2 linked regions of the Oryzias latipes genome follow. The main gene of each other region encodes a partner of the protein of the gene in region 2 in a complex. Links are inferred from orthologs where the notes say so. Each region holds a gene or a part of one and is shown on either strand. Other genes may lie near its edges.

Evidence for each region.
Region 1: the proteins of sin3b (region 2) and phf12 are in contact, whole or in part, in a cryo-EM structure (PDB 8BPA), measured with the Homo sapiens proteins. The link is inferred for Oryzias latipes from reciprocal best matches to the Homo sapiens genes SIN3B and PHF12. Residues at the interface, in NP_056075.1 of Homo sapiens: Glu307, Phe311, Leu318, Glu322, Val323, Tyr324, Glu325, Asn326, Leu328, Arg329, Cys330, Ile331, Leu333, Phe334, Asn335, Glu343, Leu347, Pro350, Phe351, Lys354, Phe365, Lys395, Arg396, Glu490, Glu493, Leu494, Val497, Tyr545, Arg546, Ile547; in NP_001028733.1 of Homo sapiens: Leu20, Met21, Gln23, Ile24, Gln25, Leu27, Leu28, Pro30, Pro31, Lys32, Thr33, Asn264, Leu266, Val267, Leu269, Val271, Val273, Phe275, Thr276, Asn278, Arg279, Ser280, Arg282, Cys292, Pro293, Leu294, Pro316, Asn317, His318, Ile319.

What each region holds. Positions count from the first base shown.
Region 1 is NC_019871.2:27,100,153-27,109,534, forward strand, and holds the end of phf12 (PHD finger protein 12), read right to left. Parts: intron 9,364-9,382; coding exon 8,667-9,363; intron 4,678-8,666; coding exon 4,576-4,677; intron 4,466-4,575; coding exon 4,334-4,465; intron 3,584-4,333; coding exon 3,488-3,583; intron 2,876-3,487; coding exon 2,793-2,875; intron 2,718-2,792; coding exon 2,579-2,717; intron 2,218-2,578; coding exon 1,778-2,217; 3' UTR 995-1,777; downstream 1-994.
Region 2 is NC_019862.2:32,321,359-32,330,740, forward strand, and holds part of sin3b (paired amphipathic helix protein Sin3b), read right to left. Parts: intron 9,093-9,382; exon of another isoform or gene 8,791-9,092; intron 8,704-8,790; coding exon 8,597-8,703; intron 7,596-8,596; coding exon 7,442-7,595; intron 5,418-7,441; coding exon 5,058-5,417; intron 4,778-5,057; coding exon 4,631-4,777; intron 4,463-4,630; coding exon 4,334-4,462; intron 2,521-4,333; coding exon 2,431-2,520; intron 2,334-2,430; coding exon 2,215-2,333; intron 2,070-2,214; coding exon 1,856-2,069; intron 1,300-1,855; coding exon 1,183-1,299; intron 944-1,182; coding exon 705-943; intron 1-704.

The sequences.
Region 1 (9,382 bases), on a different chromosome or scaffold from region 2:
GATAGCACAAGGGTTAATTGGGCCATGTGTGATGAGTCTTTGGGCAAAAATCTCCTTCCATCAGTGACAGTATTGAGGATGAAAATTGGCTGGATCTTCCAGCATGATGATGACCCCACCTTTACATTGACGTGTTCTCCCTACCATGACAAAGGTGGATAAAGGTGGACAGATTTCATGTAATCAATGGACACCAGTGAAGATCACAAATCATTGAAGAAAAAAGGTTCAGAGCACTGTCTAGTGGGTCTAGATGACCCAACTCCCAATGTTAAAGTGCTTGGATAGCACAAGGGTTAAGGATTGACTTGTTTTGAGACGGCACATTACCAATAGTAATAGTAACTTCTTCAAAAAAGCGGAAAAACTGTACCTCCTGAAACACCAACGACTTTAGACTTTGGCTTTTTTTCCCTGTGAACGTTAAGGTGGAATTTTATAAGGGACAAGGTTTTGATAAGGATGTGATTTGCTTTTGCTTTGAGACAACTCTGGTTATAACTGGTGTTCTTTAAAAACTGAACTTATTTAACCTAAAATGACATACTTCTGATAACATGTTTCCTAAAAAACTCACTCATTCTTTTTCTAAACCCTTTTTTGTCCCTGGAGCCTATCCTGGCCGCTCGTGGGCGAAGGCGGGGTTTACCCTCAGCAGGTCACCCATGCACACTTGCATTCATGCCTAGGGGCAATGTTACTAGGATTTTCTTTTTTCTCATTTTGTCTCTCATAGTTGAGGTATTCCCATGAAAACAATTACAGGCCTCTCATCTTTTGAAGTGGGAGATCTTGCAGAATTGGCAGCTGACAATACTTTTTTGCCCCACTCAGGAACAATGACTTTCTGGAGTCTATAGAGGCAAGACTAAAGAAATGTAGAATTCATTGTAAAAAGCTTTCAAGACAAATGGATACAGAATGCCATTTACCACAAATCTAACGCTCTCCTTCCTGACAGTGAGGGCTGATGCCGGGACAAAGATGCACAGAGTTTGTTATTAAAAAATCTTTCTGTATTTACATGTTTAACAGACAAGCTGGTACTGCTTATATACAAAGCTGCATGATGTCAAAATGAGTGCTAAAACACTACAGTATTAACAGATGGACTACAATGGAAAATACAGACTAAGAACAAGTTTTATCACAAAACATTTGGTACTCTACACTGTATCACAATTTCCATGGACTGTACAATTAAAAACCCCAAAAGGTAAATCTACATGAAATCCAATGTTTCTCAAAAAGAGAAAGACTGAATTATAAATATTTACAATAGTTATGTACACATATAGTGTGTAGGCATGTATGTACTCATACATTTATAGCTACCTGTGGTGCAAAAGGAGCAGAGGGAAAAAATTTTAAAAAATAAATCAGACTATGTAATACAACAAAATAAGAGTTGTGCTAAATGGGTTGACTGACATAATAAGGTTACATCATATATATATATATATATATATATATATATATATAGAACTAATACACAGGCAATAGAAATACTGAGCGCAGGTAAATAAGGTTCGCTCAAGTCCTGATGGTCTGAAGTGAACTCAGGTTTACCGTCAGTCATTTTCAAAAAAAAAATAAAAATAAAAGATTGTCAACATTACTTCAAGTTCATGCAAAAAAAAAAAAAAAAAAAACCAAAAAAAAAAAAAGCATTTAAAACAAACCAATGTTTCCCTGCTGACCAAGCAGCTGTGCAGCTTTCCCTTCATTGTGACTTGGAAGGTGCAAACTAAAGTAGAGGGTGGGCGTCTTGTGCGGTTTAAGAGACAAAGTTGGAGCGCAGAACGGGCACTTGGTGGGCGCAGACCACGTCAGGGTCCGCCTCGTCCTGGCTGGACGGGCTGCTCAACGTGGCGGTGCTGGGCGGTGTGGAGGCGGGTAACTGTGCGGAGCCGGACACGCCGGTGCTGGGGGAGCTGCTCGTGGAACTGGCGGCAGGCTCTTCTTTTGGCAGTTTACTGGCAAACTCGGCAATGCTGAACACGAACTGGAGGCAGCCCAGTTTGATGTAGCTGCCGTGGTGAAGGAGAGCCGTGCCCTCCCAGCCCGCACCGCTGCCTCCGATCAGGCTGGAGCTGCTGGACTTGCAGCCGCATGGCGGCCCCGCGCCACACTGGGGCTGGCTGCTCATCACCCCGCCCGCCGGCAGCACGGACGCCCCGGGGCCCGAACCCTCGCTCTCCTGCTTCCTGTTGTGTCCTGCACAGACGACGGAGTGGAAAACAAACTGTAACACAATCACAAGTGAGGCGAGATGGAAAAATGACCTACCGACTTCATGTCTTCTACAGAATCACTGGTATGAAGCCCACTGAGACGGCTCTTGTTGTAATATCGGGCTACACACATAAAATGGAATTGTATCAAACTCACACTGAGACAGCCATTGTCTCATAACCAGACATGTGTGCCAATCATATTTTAGATTTGTATACGCTGAGGACGGCTAGTCTTTGTGCAGAAAGTAAGAAAAATCAGAACATTTCTTTGAATTAACTTTTATAAGGCAGAATATGAGTAGAAACCAGTGAAGACGTCTTTCTTTTGAGCAGATACCCACGGATAATGCTTTGCACTCTGGACACCAGGCCGCAGGGTGGGGATGGCGAGGCCTTTTCGGAGAAGTCACAGGAGTAGAGGACGTTGTCCACCGTGGTGCCGTGCTCGCTGTAGTTTAGGAGCTCGTAATGCTTGGTGTTCTGGGGAAAGAGTTGGACAAAGTCCTTCCATGACGGAGCCACGCTTCAGGGCAAAGCGTGTCCACAAAGCCATACCTCGTCATAGAAAATGCACGCGTGTTTCCCGGAAACAAAGTTGCAGTGACCGTAATTTGAAAGGCAAACGTCCATGTCGGCTCCTTCACAGAAAAAGGTTGCAGGTTAGAAACCCCTTTTCAGACTGTGGCATATCAATATCCTCATGATGTAGCTTTTATGTGGGCTTCATGTGCTCCACACATTTTCTGAATCTTTTATCCATCAATAAAACACAGTTTCTCCCAAAAAGATCTTTGCTTTTTTAAAATAATATTCATATAATAGAGCAACAAAATATTATAACGACTGGTTTTTAAACAAATATCGTAAGTTTTTTCTTGGATACAATATAGATGCTTTAGGGCTGTAAAACTCCTCACTACACACTTCCTACACTTTTCTCAGACTCACATGAACATTTTCACACCTTTCTTTTTAAAAAAGTCCACTATTACAGAATGAAAACAAAGATCTGTGATATATACAACTCTGGCAAACTGTACACAATCTGTACTGAAGGCACAGCATGGAAGATTGATTGACAAGGTCTACAGCCAATCAGGACACAGAACGTAGTGTGCTGTAGATAAAAAAAAACTAAGCATGCAGGACGGCGGGAGCACTGTATTTTTGATGTTCTTTAATATCTTTAGTAATTGATGTGCCGATTTCAAATGCAAACAAAACCTGCAGTGAATGTCAGAGTCTCTTACCGGATCCTATGTATAGCGTCCTGTAGCACATGCTTACAGCGTGACCTTTTCCTATCAGAGGATAGAAAACAGCTCGGGCTTGGACTTTCTTCTGACCTGAAGAAAAGGTGGAGTTACAAACAACCTCACCAAAAAAGTGTGATACACGTTTGTTTTCTATTCTGACAGTAGAAATTCAGAAGTCACACAAGACGAGAGAGTAGCTGCGTTTCCATGACTCCCAGATGCGGAACACTGTCAAAATTCTAGAAATGTTTGCAATTACACCGTTTCCATTTAATCCTAATTATGTGAATGAACACAAACCAACTCACATCATAAGTCATTCAGAAACGTGAACTTTGATTTACAGCAGATACTAGCGCTCATCGTCATCTTTCAAAGGAGACGTCGGCGTCTTATTCAGGCTGTGGAGCGGCGAGCTCCTGACACGTGGGAGTGGCTACGGATTCAACCATTTTGGGAAACTGTTGTTGGTGATTTTACAGAGGAGCTGCAAACAATCCAATAATTCTGCACGACACGCTCAACTTTTGATGAGCTGTGTGGCGTGATATGGCGCCCGCTGTGCAGCGCACAAGTTCCTACCAAAAAGCGAGTCACTCTCTCCATCTAAAACTGTCTACCTGTGGAGTGTTGTTGGTCACATGACTCATTTAATTCAAAAACAAGTCTTTCCATTGCAGTTTTGTGAAATACGCCTCAAAAACCATCTTTTTCCCCCCAATAAATGCAAGTTATTTTTGGGAGTTGACATTTTTCCATTAGGCAAATGTAATATCCCAAATCCAATTTGAGCAACGTCCTATTCATGATAACACGGCTAGTGTCAGGGGTAAGACTTACTGTCGGGTTGGGGGGATTTAGAGGAACCTGTGCAGGGTGGAGTGCTGGGTATCTTAGGGGGAAATAGCTGCTGGATCCTCTGATATGCCAGCATCTTGATCATCTCTGCATCCAGTTTATCAAGCTGAATGTCTGTTACCCATGAGCACACAGACAGAAAACAAGACGTGCATGTCAGCCTTCAAGCCACAAACAGCAGCAATTCAGCTGGGTCGCTCGTCATCAGGCGGGGACACCTTTACCTCCATCCTCCTTTCCATCCTTCGTACACGAGGACAGGTTGGCGACAGACGAAGGTGTGCCTGGCAGCAGCATGTCCATCAGGCCGGGAGGGGCTTTCATATCTGTGGGACAAACAAAACGGCTTTAAACTGGATCACTGAGGCACATAAACAAGTTCAGCAAACACTAATTCACATATAAACTTGATCTAGAAAGGGATGAAGTGAACTTTTAATTATGGTTATGCCATTTTTATCCAAAATCGAAAAAGCTGTCATTTTCAAGGACATAGTATCTCCAGAGCAACAAGAGTTCATCAGAAATTTGCCTCTAAAGTGACGGCTTTGTTTACCGTAATTTCCAGATTATAAGCCGCTACTTTTGTCACACGTTTTCAATCCTGCTGCTTATTCCATGCTGCGCTATTTTATGAATTTTTTTAATGCATTTCTAATAACGGCCACTAGGGGCGACCCAGCAGAAAGGGTTAGAGTGAGACGGTGTATGTGTCGAGGAAGACGCACGTTTAATGTAAATTCCCGCTTTGTGAATGAATGGCACGAACACAACCTCATTATAATAAAAATATGAGAATAAAATAAAAGAAGAAATGCATATGATGCAGCTTTCAACTTTCAAGTTAAAAGCCATTGTTAAAGGCAGTGTGTTTGGAAAAGCCGGTCTGCTGCGAGAGGACAGCGCAAGCTCAGGAGGGAATTTGCCTCAGGATGAGAGTGACACTGACAACTACAATGAAGAAGAGACAGAGTGTGGTGAAGAATATCTGACGCTATTCCAATCCAACACTGAGGAAGACTTCCATGTTTCAGTGCACAGGAGGAAGATGAAGAAAGCTCTCATATGTTTCACACCCCAAACACACTTCTGCTGCGCGCTCTCGCTCCCTCCTCTTTCTTACACACACCCACACCCACACACATACACATCCTCATTCTACAACACATGTTTCAATGTGGGCACATGCGGCTTATGCATGTACAATATGGTTTATCCTTTAAAAATGTAATGGGGTGCGGCTTATAACCAGGTGCACTATAGTCCGGAAATTACGGTACATTCTGTCCTCGTATCTTCCATCCCCTCACAAACCCAACCGAACATCCGCAGTGCGACAAAAACTGGGAGCAGTGTCAGAGCTGTCCATCCGTACAGTTCTGATCCAGATTCCAGCTCAGAGGAGGAAAACAAAGACGCTCATGGATATGTTTGTTAGTGGATGATCAGAAAGGGGCGGAGCTTGTGGCCTGCCGACTAATCACAAGCTTTTTCAAAACAGCATTTTTTTCACTCTGCTCCTGCCTCACCACAGTTTGAACAAAGAAATACTGAAAACTGCAGTTTTAATCTTAATTTTTTTCATGCATGGTGAGAAAAACAGAAAAAATGTCCTCGTTGGGGTGGGTCTTTTTTTTTTACTTTTAATGGTAAACTTTGATGATATAACGATGTTTTGGGCTGTTTTTACAAGTCAAAATAAGCATGCTGCTACTTCTATTGTTAAATATTTACTTTATGAAACCGATGAAATAACTGTTCCGTCTTTAGAGGCCTGCTCCTCTCTGTTTAATGTAATAGTCAGAAGAATACTTTAAAAATAAATAGTCACTTGGGTTTAAGATGTGTTGGTAAGTTTTAAGACAGCTTGGAAGAAAACCTTGTTCCATGTGAAAGTAGGAGAGGCGGGTGTGGAAGACGTATACGGACCCTTTCCACAACCATTTGAGTGTCATGGAAAAGTGGATCCATTTCCATAATTCCATTCAAAACATTGTACTTTCATGGAATACAGATTCAGGGCCCGCTTTTTAATTGATTTCAAGTATTTGCTTATTTGAAATAAATTGGCGTTCCAGCTCAAGAAGCCTATGACAACAAGATTTCCTAAAATTAGAATGCCGTGGAGAAATCGGCCCAAATTCTGCAGGCCGTGAATGTTTGAAACGGAGTGTCACCAACTAATCATCTACGGCAGGGGTCGGGAACCTTTTTGGCCAAGAGAGCCATAAATGCCACATATTTTGAAATGTAATTTCGAAAGAGCCATACAATAATGTAGTGTCCCTTCCCCACACTGAGGCACGGAGACTTAACCTCTTTTAAAGTTCTTTATTCTGGTTACTGCAGACCGCAACAAACGCCGTTCAATTCATTCAGCAACTCCTGAATCTCTCCCGCCGACACGAGAGCGCTTCTCCCAACTATATATTCCCCTGCTCCCGCTGCAGCCCTCCCATTTCCCTTATTCGGCCCATAGCTGAACACCATTGGTCCAAACTACCTAACAACAGGCTGAGCGACAGAACTGAGGGCCAATCAGATCTCTGCTTGACGCGTTCAATGAACTCCAGAACTTTTAACGCGGCCCAACAGCCATCCAACTCAGTCCGCGACAATTTGTTTAAAACTAAATATATAAATGAATGTGTGCATTTGATTTAATTTCAACATTTTTAAAGTACAATAAGTCTGTGGATTCTTTTTAATAACATTGTTATTCTGTTGGTAATAAATGATGAGTATTTCTCGTGGTAGTTCTGCTGGTGGTCTAGTCTGGTTGATACGTGGTGAGTTTCTGCTTCGTTCAGGCGTTGAGACTTTAAACGTGATCTTAGGTCTGAATGTTCTGTAGATGTGAGACAGACTGATCACATGCAGACGGGGAGCCAAACACACACTCACACGCTGCAGTGAGTGACGGGCAGCAGGTTTTACGTTATTACAATCCCTGCGCGATTCACCTGCTGCCTGTCCCCACAACACCTCACCCCCACCCTCTGCTTTCTTCCTCACACATCCCGTCCCCGCAACTGCGCGCTCTTTCTCGGAGACGGGAGCGTGCAGTTTTAGGGACGTCAATTCACAGGTTTACGGTTGGTACAAACTCTGTGAAATAGTAGATAATAGTAAACTGATAATGCTGGCGCAGATTTTTCTCTCCAAGCACCACGCCTCTGGCATCGCATCGCGCCCGAGAAGGACTGGTCTAATAAAAAATAAAAAAGTATAATTAAAGATTTGTCTGTGAGCCACAAGTGACCATCAAAAGAGCCATATATGGCTCGCGAGCCATAGGTTCCCGACCCCTGATCTACTGCATAAAGTAACTGCACAGGTTCCCCAGACGTTGGTTCAGTTTGGTTAAATATAAGGAAGACTTCAGGCTTTCCAACTTCCCAAAAGACCATCGTTGACCTCTGGGTGAGCCACCAAAGTTCAAAAGTAGCTCAGGAGGCTGTCTGTTCACAGAGCGCTGTGTCCAAGCAGATCAATGGAAAGTCTATAGGAAGGTCAAAATGTATCAGGAGAAGAAGCAGCAGCAAAAGAGACGACTGTGGGCTTCAGCGGATCATCAAAAGGACAAGATCCAAAAAGCTGCAGACCTCCAGAAAGAGTGGAATGAGGTGGAGGAACAGCTTCCAAAACCACCACATTCAGGCCCATTCTGGAGACGGGCTACAACTGTCGGGTTCTTCGGGTCAAGACACGTCTGAGCCTGGACCAACGGGGGAAACGGAGAAGAAGAACTGGACTGTGGGCCAGTGGTCCAGGGTCCTGTTTTCTGGTGAAAGGAAAGTGGGCTGAAACAGCTGCAGTGGGCCCAGACAAACATAAAGAATCCACCGGGCTTCCGCTGATCGGAGTAAGCTCAGCCCGCCCATCGATCTCAAACGCAGATATGAAAACAGCTGGAAGCAAAGAGGGACTTCTTCTACGAGGCTGACGAAGAAACTGTAGAATTTGGAATGAAACTTCAGTAAATATGATCTATTAATGCAGCAAAGTCAACAAATGACCATTTTTAGTTCTTCAGAATCTATGAAATGTTCTGTTTACTAATGTGGAACAGTAAACTTTCAAGGCTTTTATTTATGAATAAAATATGCGTCTTTAGTAGGTTTGTTTAATAAAATGACATCAAAATGGTTAGTGACTAGACAAATCCTGCCGACTTTCATTTGCATCGAGTATTGAGAAAAATCATTCAAAAAAACAGCATTTGCAGAATAATTTGGAACGCTGTACATAGAAGCTGCTAATTAAAATGTATTGAATGTGTTTATCTGTGCTGGTTCATGAGTGCTGCTTTTACCCATTGGTGGTGGGAACAGCTTGGGTTCTCCCGTGCCTTGCTTCTGCTCGTCTTTTGATGCATGGGAGAGCGAGCTGCTTGTGATGGAACAGTGACGCGGTTCCTCCTCCTGAAGCTTGCCGTGGCTCTTGTTGTTCAGCCCGCCACTGTTGGGCCGAGTCGTGAGAGCGGTGGGGCAGTTTTTCAGAGCACAGGTCTCTGTGGCGCCCTCCTGCTCCTTTTTGAAAGCTTCCGTTTGGACATGGTTCCCTAGTCCTGCAACAGGCTCCGATTCGGAGCCGGCTTTCAACCTGTGTTGCAGCTCAGCGTGCCTGGAGGAGGCCAACGTGCTCTTACAGTCTAGATCCGTGCAAGGGCTGGGAGGCTGAAGCTTTGCCACAGATCCATTGGCTTTATGGCAGCTCTGGCATGACGTGGTGTCACACTGACAGAGAGCAAGCTTTGCCGGACAATCCTTGGAAAACGAGGCCTCTAGAGAGCTTTTGGATAAACTACCTGTAGAGGCTTTAGGACAGGGTAAAGGTGAAGGAGTCCTTCCAAAAGAAGCTGGAGTCTTCTTTTCTTCCGATAAGATGCAGGATTTTATGCAGCTCTTCTGCTCAGAATCAAACTCTGCAGCTGATGTGGATCCAGGCGTTTGTTTTATTGAAAGATGCCGCATGATGCTGCATTGGAGAGCGATGACATCCTGGAGCCACTGCTCACAAGAAATAAAG
Region 2 (9,382 bases):
TCAAAAAAATCTGAAAATATTACAAGATTTTTTTTTACAGATGACAAACATTCAATGAAACAAAGTTATTTGTAGAAGTTGCTTCTGATTTGTAAAAATAGAATCCATGATAACACTGAGACTCAGATCATTTTTTACATTCATCATATTTGTTTCTACAGAAATCCTGATTTATTGTGTATTTATTGTGTATACATTTTCTGACATCTGCCTAATTCAACTTTGCTGTAGGAAAATTCATAAATGTCCTTTTTCCAAGTTTCCACAAATCAGCATCATTTGTTTATTAAATCTTTTTCTGTGGCTGGTATTTAATAAAAGAAAAATGTCAGAGTGGCGGCTAACAACCGAACGCCAACGTCAGCCGCATCAGACTTTTTGATTGACGGATAAATGAAGCAAAAGAAAACGACAACTGTCGTAAAAGTGGTATTCTCTAGAAATAATAACAAATAAACGTCATTATCTACGTGTGTGAAACATTATATGCTTATATACATGCAGAGCAGATTCTGGTACTTCAGAACAACCGTCTCCCGGACCGGTACCAGTCTGCGGCCTGGGGGTTGGGGACCCCTGCTGTAAATTACTGAATCTATATCAAAACAAAGCAATGGTCAAGAAGTGTATTTATCGAAACTACGCCCACAAGCAGAATCTGGGCTAACAACATGAGCGGTTCTGACAGAAGAGGAGGGTCTGACCTCTTCAGCACCACAGGCACGGCGGTGGCAGGACTCCTCTTCAGTCCCTCGATGATCTCTGGGGCTTTGTCGCCGTAGATACGGTAGACGGAACGCCGCTGGATGACCTCAGACGTGCCGCCCAGGCAGTCGTCCAACCGGAACCGGTCCTGGTCTTCGGGAGAAAGGCGAGCCAGCTTCTTCTGGACGCTCTCCAACACTCTGATGGTTGCCAGGTTGGTCTCCAGAACGACATCCAGCTGCAAGTGTCACCGGCACAGATTTACTGAGCATAAACCAAAATCAGAATCATAAACCAGCATCTTTGAACACGGTGACGTCTGCGTTTCTCAGTGATGAAAGTATGGAAACAAAAATGTTTTGTCAGACAGTTTTTAACCATCTTGGAGTTTGTTGGACAAAGGTTTTCAGCACGCTTTGGTTTAATAAATGGCATCTGTTGAGTCACAGATGAGAAATCTTTGTGCTGTTGGTTTACCTCGAACCTTTCATCCTCGCAGCGATGCAGCTGCTCTTCATAAGGAGTCTTCTTCGAGCTGACAAATGTAGAATCTTCTGACCAGGAAGGAAATGACACCCAGGTGTCATTCAGGACCTTAGGACGCACAAATGGAAAGTATGAACACAAAGAGAAGACATTCCAACGTCTGCTATGGTTCCTTTGATGCACACGAAGGCTTTTCCAGAGCATCCTTTGGTTGGTGACCTGCAGCTCCTGGAGTCTGACACAACGGCCCCTTTTTCCTAGGTAAATAATTCAAAATAAATCAGATTTAAAAAAGAAAACTCCTTCTAAGGAACGGTGTCCTTTAAAAAGGACATAAAAACGTAGTGACTGAGAGTTAAACCTGAGCTTCCTGTTATCTCCCTTCAGTGCAGGAAACACCAGAACATCGACTCTGAAAGACCAGATAATCCAATCCCACAATTCTTTGCTGTCATCGCGTAAAAAGGAAGTGATAACTGAAGGTTGACTCAAAGCCAAAAAGGCTGTCAGACCAACTTAGGGTTTAATCCTGTACAGAAACATTTTGTAATTCCAAGCCTTCTTTAAATCGTGACGCATCATAGCGAGGTCAAGGAGCTGAGAACCCCCCCCCCCCCAGAACCAAAGGAAACAGCACCGTTCAAGCCCCCAAAGGTTGTGGTACCTCTTTGCATAAGGCTGTGCGCCCGCTGCATTTGGGCTGCTGGTAGGTCTTTGGCAGCGCTCGATAGCTGGACCCCAGCCGCTTGCAGGAGGCATAATCCACCTCCCTGCCTCCACCCCCCTCCATGTAGCGGTCCGACAGCCCCGACACGCCATGACACAGCTCTTTGTCCCCCAGAAAGGACTTGAACTGCGAGTACAGCTCAGGAAACTTCCTGTTGGGGAGGGACAGGTCAGTTCAGGGAGACCCAGCTGCAACGACACACCTGCTGTCGCACAATTCAATCAGATTCCAGCCTTTTCCTGTTGTGGGATCCGACATTTACTAAACACGCTGCCATTTGTAAAGGTTCTTCTCACCCCAGGAAAGGTGTGACCAGCTGGAGCAGCTCTGCTCCAGAAACCACTTCCTGGTTGAACAGCGCGATGCAGCGCAGAAAGTTCTCGTACACTTCCTGGCTTTTGAAAAGGCGGCGGACCTAAAAGATTGATTAGGGTAATCAGATAAAAATGTCAAAGCAAGGTAAAGCTTAGAAAACAGGAAATCAAAAATGTAATAAAATCCATAAACCTTACTTTGTCAAAGAAGGAGAATTCCCTCAGGACGCCGTGCTTCCCGGCTGAAGCAAAAGACGGATCTTTGGTGCAAGAATACTTCATTTTTTTCTGAAAAAGAAAAACTATTTCATAAATATCTAGAACATTTGATTTCCTTAATGGCACAGCAGAATTGAGAAACTTCAGAGATTTTATGAATACCAATAATCTAATTCTTACAGAATGGAAAGCACATCAGAAAGCGTCTAATAAACATTTTCATCTGCTCTGTAGCAGTCTGTACAGGGAGAGAAAGCTGCTTTGAATTCAAAATGCACAACATTTGACGTTATTTCCTTATGGAAGGAGTCACAGAGCAAGAGTCAGAGTTAATCAGCAGCGTTCGCTGGAAACAACAGCAGACTGGATGCAGCTTTAAGACTGAGCAGCAAAGGCTGATGGGAATCTTTAGCTACATGCATCCTACTGCATGTGGCTGTAGTTTATGCAGATTTGGTGTATTGTCAGTGAACAGTAGTGAAGAAAACAAACTACGAAGTGGCAAAATATACTAAAAAAGGAGAGAATGAAGATTTGAGGAATAATCAATAAGACAAAAAATTTACATTCTAAAAAAGATGAAGCTGCACTAATCTGAATGTTCACTAAATAGAAAGACAGAGCAAAGACAGAAAAGGGCTGTTTTTATTAAAGAATAACCTGTCAAACCCCAAAAAATCTATTTACTGCAGCGACATATGGATCAGATATGGATAATATCAATATGTATCATATGTGGTCCAGACTTCTGACTTGAGGGTTGTACAAAAGCAAATATCTTCTTAATGTCATTTTAATCTTTATTTATAAGATAAAAGCGCTCTGTGGTCGTCACAGGTGCATCTATGGAAGGACACACAGAACCTGAACTGGTTTTTGGCATCTTTGTATAAATAAAACAAAACGTCATCACAGTTTCAGCAAATATTCTGGACAGTCAAAACTGAGACGGAGCTTCTCAGAGATGATCCAGTGTGTTCCGTCTCAGAGTGATGGGTTAGGGAAACCTTCACAAACTCCAGAGTCCCACGAGTTTCACCGCCGACCTCCACCTGCAGCTCCTCACTGGCAAAGCACACCTGATCCAGGTAATCGGCAGCAGGTGGGGTCGAGTTTAGGAGAAACCAGCAGAATGTTGGCGCTGGCGGGGTAGAATTCGACACCCCTGCTTTTAATCAAAGTGTGGCCCCACACTCAGAGTGCCGCTCCTTCCAAAAACCAGCCAATCAGGCTTCAAATGGCCTTTTTTGATTTAAATCAAAGAAAAGGTTAAAGGTGCACATTTTCATCTTATCGAGCTTTAGGTCAAATCTTGTAATGGGGGGTCCTTTCGTATGCAAACACACCTTCCTTTCTCTTAATTCTGTGTTTTGCTGTCATTAAATACATCAGACCCTGCAGTGAATAAACGCGACTTTTTCCCCCTTAGGTTTGGTTTTTACTCAGATTAACTGTAGAATACGTTTACAGTTTAACATTGAAATCCTTCTGATTGAAGAATAGACAACTGTTAGAAACCAGGAAAAAAAACACAACATGTCAAGCCAGGGCCGGTTAATACTTCAACAAAGCCTCATCAACAAGAATAAAGTAATTCAGAGTTAGTAAAGGGGTCCAGTCAGATGAAGCTACACAAACACAGGGGTTAGTGGGACAGAAAGGAACAACAGTTCCAAGGTAAAATGTTCATTCTGTGCCACTTTGCATTCTTTAAACACTGATAAAGCTATGAAATGAATCGATTGTGTTTCAACATCACACAATAAAGGCAAACTGCAGCATTTCTCACTATTTAAATCAAGCTTTCTTCTTAACTGAAGCATTTTGTCACTTTTGGCCGGCGTCGTTTGGACAAATGCGTCCATAAGAAGCACGAGCATACCTTCAGCAGAGGAGACATGTGCTGCAGGAGGACGGGCCGGGGCCTCTTCTTGTTCTGTTTGCTTGATACATCGTCTTCCTCAGACTTTTTCAGCGGCTCTTTGCTCCCCGTCAGCGAACTCCCCGTGAACTAAATTAGCAAAAGAAGAAGTAAATATCAGCAGAGACATTCTGAAAAGCAAATACAGCTAGTCTGTCTCCATTGGAGAAGCCGGACAAACCGGAAAAACCAGGTTCGTTTGTGACTCTTCACTTATTTCATTAAGGTTAGAAGTTCACATGCTGGAGCTTCACTGACCAGAGATCTCTTAGCATCGGGTAAGAACTGTCCAAACTCAGCCAGAAGATCCTCCTGCCCCTTAAAAAGGCTGGCCACTTTGGAAAAGACTTCGTCTTCAGTCATGCCGCTGCTGCCCCGACTCTCCTTGGCTTCCAGCTGCTCCTTCTGCAAAGTGACGGGGGAAACCGTGTTGACATGGAGCCAAAGGGGGAAACACTCTTTCTTTTAAAGAACAATCACATCTACAGTTATCAATATCTTGTAAAACAGCCGTTTTGATGCAATAGTGATGAATGGCGTGCATTCTGACACATCCACCCCATGACACACGTTTCAGGAATAAAACGGCCAACAAGCCGCTGCAGTCTCGTCTGTACACTGTGATAAATGTAAAACGTTTCAGTTATGGAGCTGGAAATCTGCTTCCTAATCAGCCAGTTTTTACCTGATAGGTGTGGAGGATTTCTAGGAAGGCTCTATAAATCTCTGGGTGGTCCAGAAAACGGTTTTTAATCTTGTTAACATAGCTGATGGCACTGTCAAACTCAACAGGACTGGTCTCTGACGCCGGCGGGGACACCGAGGAGACGGCGGCCGGATTGTGGCTCTCTTTAGTCAGGGGGAGAGAAAGTCTGCTGGGGGGCTCTGCGGGTCCCGTCGAGCTGGACGACAGGGAATCGGACGAAGGCGCCTTGACTTCACTGGTCTGGACCGGTCCAGCTTCAGCGTGGACCGTGGAGGCGGGGCCTGAGGACGAGCCCACTGCAGGAGGGGTCAGATTTTTAGTGTGCTGTCCCGGAGACACCTGCATGGGTGGACAGGGGGGGTGGACAGGGGGGGCAAACAGTGCATGAGACATTAAAGAAATGAAATGTTAAAGAACATGAAACATAATTACATCGGCTCTGAAATAAAGTGGATTTTTTAAAGCAAAAGAATTCAAACTCCATAAATTAAAAATAACACTGATTTGAGCTTTTTATTAAGCAGCTTTAGCTCCAATAATCCACAGTTTAATACAACAATCTGGTTTTACAGCACAATGGAGAGCTTTTAGATTTTCTTTAAGCACTTTGTAAATAAATGCAAACATTTATAGGCAAAAAGGAGCAGAAAAAAGTGTCTTTTTAGATTTTCATATGCAATAACAGCGCTATGAGGTCATCCAATAAGCTCTCAAATTTGCAACATTTTGTGTGAGAAACATGAAACGATTAAGTTTAGCAAAGACGATCATGATTCAAATCAATTGGAATATTATTGAAAGTGTATAGATTTCAAAAACTGAAGTGACAAAATGATTAAATGATTTCCAAAATCCATAAACTCCACCATGGGATGCATCTAAAATCAGAATCTTCTCTGACAGTTTGTCATTCTGGGAAACATCCGACAGCAACGTTACATTCAGAGGATTCAGTTCCAGGTTCATCAAAAGTGCAAATAAGCCCACAAAGAGACATTATTCCACACAAAGTTTAAATAACAAATACATCTGCAGCTCATGTGGGTCAAACGCACTAATACAATCTGATGGCAGCAAACTCTCCAAAGTTTGGCCGCGTTTTGTGAATAACCATCACTCAGACATCAGTTTTCTCTCAAAAACACACTATGATAAAACAAAATGTTGTTTTTAACCTGTTCTGCTGATGGAGGAGAAACAGAAAGAATAAGTAAATAAATAAATAAAGACAAAATAAAAAGCCTATAGTTGTTACGTGTAAGGGTCAATGGCCGACGAAGTGTGCATTATCACTTTTTAACGCACACCGTGGAAGCCTGGGTGCTTCCGCGAAGTGCGTTAGTTCTGATAATGAACACTTCAAAGGCCATTAACCCGCTTATACCATGGTCACTTACAAAAGCAATAAATAGTAACCTGTTTTTGGTACTTAATTCTTGTTTTTTGTTCCGATTTGGATCACTTTTCTCACAAAAAGCGGACTATTTGTTCGCGCCGCATCACTGCTGCAGTCAAGATTCGGCGATATATATCTATGCTGATCTTCCCGATGGGTTGAATAAAGCATCAGTTCAGAGAGAAAGTTCACTTTTTACCGCTTGTTTTTGTCCAAATGATGAAGCAAAAGGTTGTTTTAAAGAAGCCGGCGTAGTGATACAGAACATTTAAGCTAGGTGACCGGAACTTCTTTTTTCACCGTGCAGTTATCCTGTGGTATATCACTTTTTAATGCACACCCAGCAGCCAATCAGATTCAAGTATTCACCCGGGCCATGGTATAAAAAAACTACAATGGACAGCCTCCAGCCCCCGCTCCATTCTGATCCTCCACCTGCAGACCAACAGATCCATGATCTTCTTTGTTTTCCTGGTCTGAGCTGGAATCTGGATCAGAACTGGACGGCTGGATGGATCTGATCACTGTTTTTGTTGCACTGCTAATGCTAGGTTGGGGGTGTGAGGGGCAGTAAGCTAGTGGGAGAGGGTGTAAACTGTAAACAGATGATGGGAAGGAGGACTGGCTTTCACCACGCCAACGGTCCCGCCCACAACGCCGCTCTACAGGAACTATGTCCAAGAAAATGACTGGTTTAGTTTAGCCGTTACCTATTGATTCTATGACTTTGTGTTCTTTATGATTCATGTTTATTGAACAACTACCGTCTGAAGCCCTTTGAGGTGACTGTTGTTGTAATATTGGGCTATAGAAATAAAACTGAATGGAATTTTCATCATAATTAAAAGGCCACTGGGAACACTTAGAAACTAGATCCAAAGATGGTCAGAGTGGAACTTTAAGACCTCTAAACTCTGTCACCCTGAAATCTTTACGGGTTTCAGTACAAGCGGGAAGTGTGGCTCACCTGAGCGGAGAACGGAGACTGGAGAAACGCCATCCCATTTTTGGGAATCTCTATCCGATAACCTGGAGGCAGGAAGGCGTTGAAGCCCAGGACCAGGTCTGGATGTCCATGAAATAGCTGTGACACGCGGTTTATGACCCCCGGTGTGTCAATGCTGTTGAAGAGAGACGACGACGATGATGATGATGATGATGGGTGAAGATAGAGACACATACTTTCATGCTTCACTACTTTAAGATAAAGTCAAACATTTTAGTTCTGGATGGAACCAGTTAAGAAAATGTTTTTGGTTTCTGTTGTATTTATTTATGTTAAATAATCAGTTTTGACAAAATAATTGTCTTTGGACTCATTAAAGATTTGTTAACTACCCTTAAAGTAACCAAGCATCACAACCACTAACCTCACTCTGCCTTTCATGTCACTCGTGTTTCTGGGTGAATTCAGCATCGGCTTAGCAGCATTTTTGCCTCCTTTTTAAGTTCAGAAACCGTCCTGTTCTTGGCAGGACTGCTGCAGACTCAGTCTGCGGATCGGCACAGGAAGACCCAGACCAGGGCCCGCTTAGGGCTACATTGGGCGGCCATGGCGCAGAGGAAGAACGTTCGACTTCTGATGAGAAAATCAAGGTTCTGTTCTCGCCTTGTCCGCCCAAGTGTCATTGGGCAAGGCACTGAAGCCCACATTGCTCCTGGTGGTTATAGGTTGGTGCCAGTGTTTGGCATCAGTGTGTGGGTCTGTGGCAGAAAAGCGCTTTGGACTCTAACAAAGTACTAAACCACTATCATAAAAATACGCCGTTTACTATTTAGGCAGCAGCGGGATACGCCTCGCCCAAGAACCTACACTGGGAAGCATACACTGGCTTCTTGCACGCCAGTCCAACACCCAGCCAAGGTTGGGGTTGTGAGGGGCTGTAAGCTAGCGGGGCAGCATGTAAACAGATGAGATGATGGGAAAGGGGCCGGCTTACTCTGCACCACTGACACAACTCAGAGCTGAATTTCTAATGAACTACTGCCACTTTGCAGAAACTATATCCTAGAAAACGGCATAAATGTAATTAAAAGATGACTAGGAATGTTTTTGCAACAGATGCAAACTACTTTACTGTAAATCCCTGTAAATCAGGGTTTGGTTTGCTCCTATGGTTACCTCTGTGACTTGAACTCCTTCATGATGTCCAGGAACTTGTTATAGATGCCCGGATCATTGGCAAACCGGATCTTCACTTGGTCCAGATAAGATAAGGCATCTTCAACCTTTAAAACAAAAGACCGGCAGTTATTGTCAGGTGAGATGTTGGTGCATGAAGTGGAAAAGGACAAATTCCAAAGCAGAACTGTTACCCATCATGCACCAGTGGGCAGGACTCGCAGCTGATCGGGACTTTATTTACCCGTTTAGTCTGAATGCTGGCTTTTTCAGCCCCGTTCGTTTGAGTCTGCATGATGGTTTGAAGTCAGGCTGAGCTTTATTTACCACACGCACGCACACACTCGCGCGCGCACACACACACACACACAAACTGCAAGTGACTGAAGAGGAAAGACGACGCAGCTGAACCGGGAAAGAAGCAGCTCCCGTTTCTACCGTCTGCAGCGTTTACGGCCACTAAACACCGAGAAATCACAGAAACATTCAGACGAAAGAGCGCGTAGCGTCTGAAGCTAATGCTAGCCAACAGCGGAGCGCCGTTCAGAAGTCCGACTGCTCGATCAGTACAATGCATGGGGGGGGGGGGGGGGGGTCAGACTGCGACGAAAATAAGATGTAACAGAAAACACTAAATACAGAATTCGGAATCATCAAGCACAGCCGCCGTTTCTACACGGCCTGGATGACGAGCTCCACTTTGTTTGGAGCAGGCTAAGAGAAAAGACGAACCACCACCGAGGAGGAACTTCCCACAACACGGCTGACTTCACGGCTCTGCCAGCG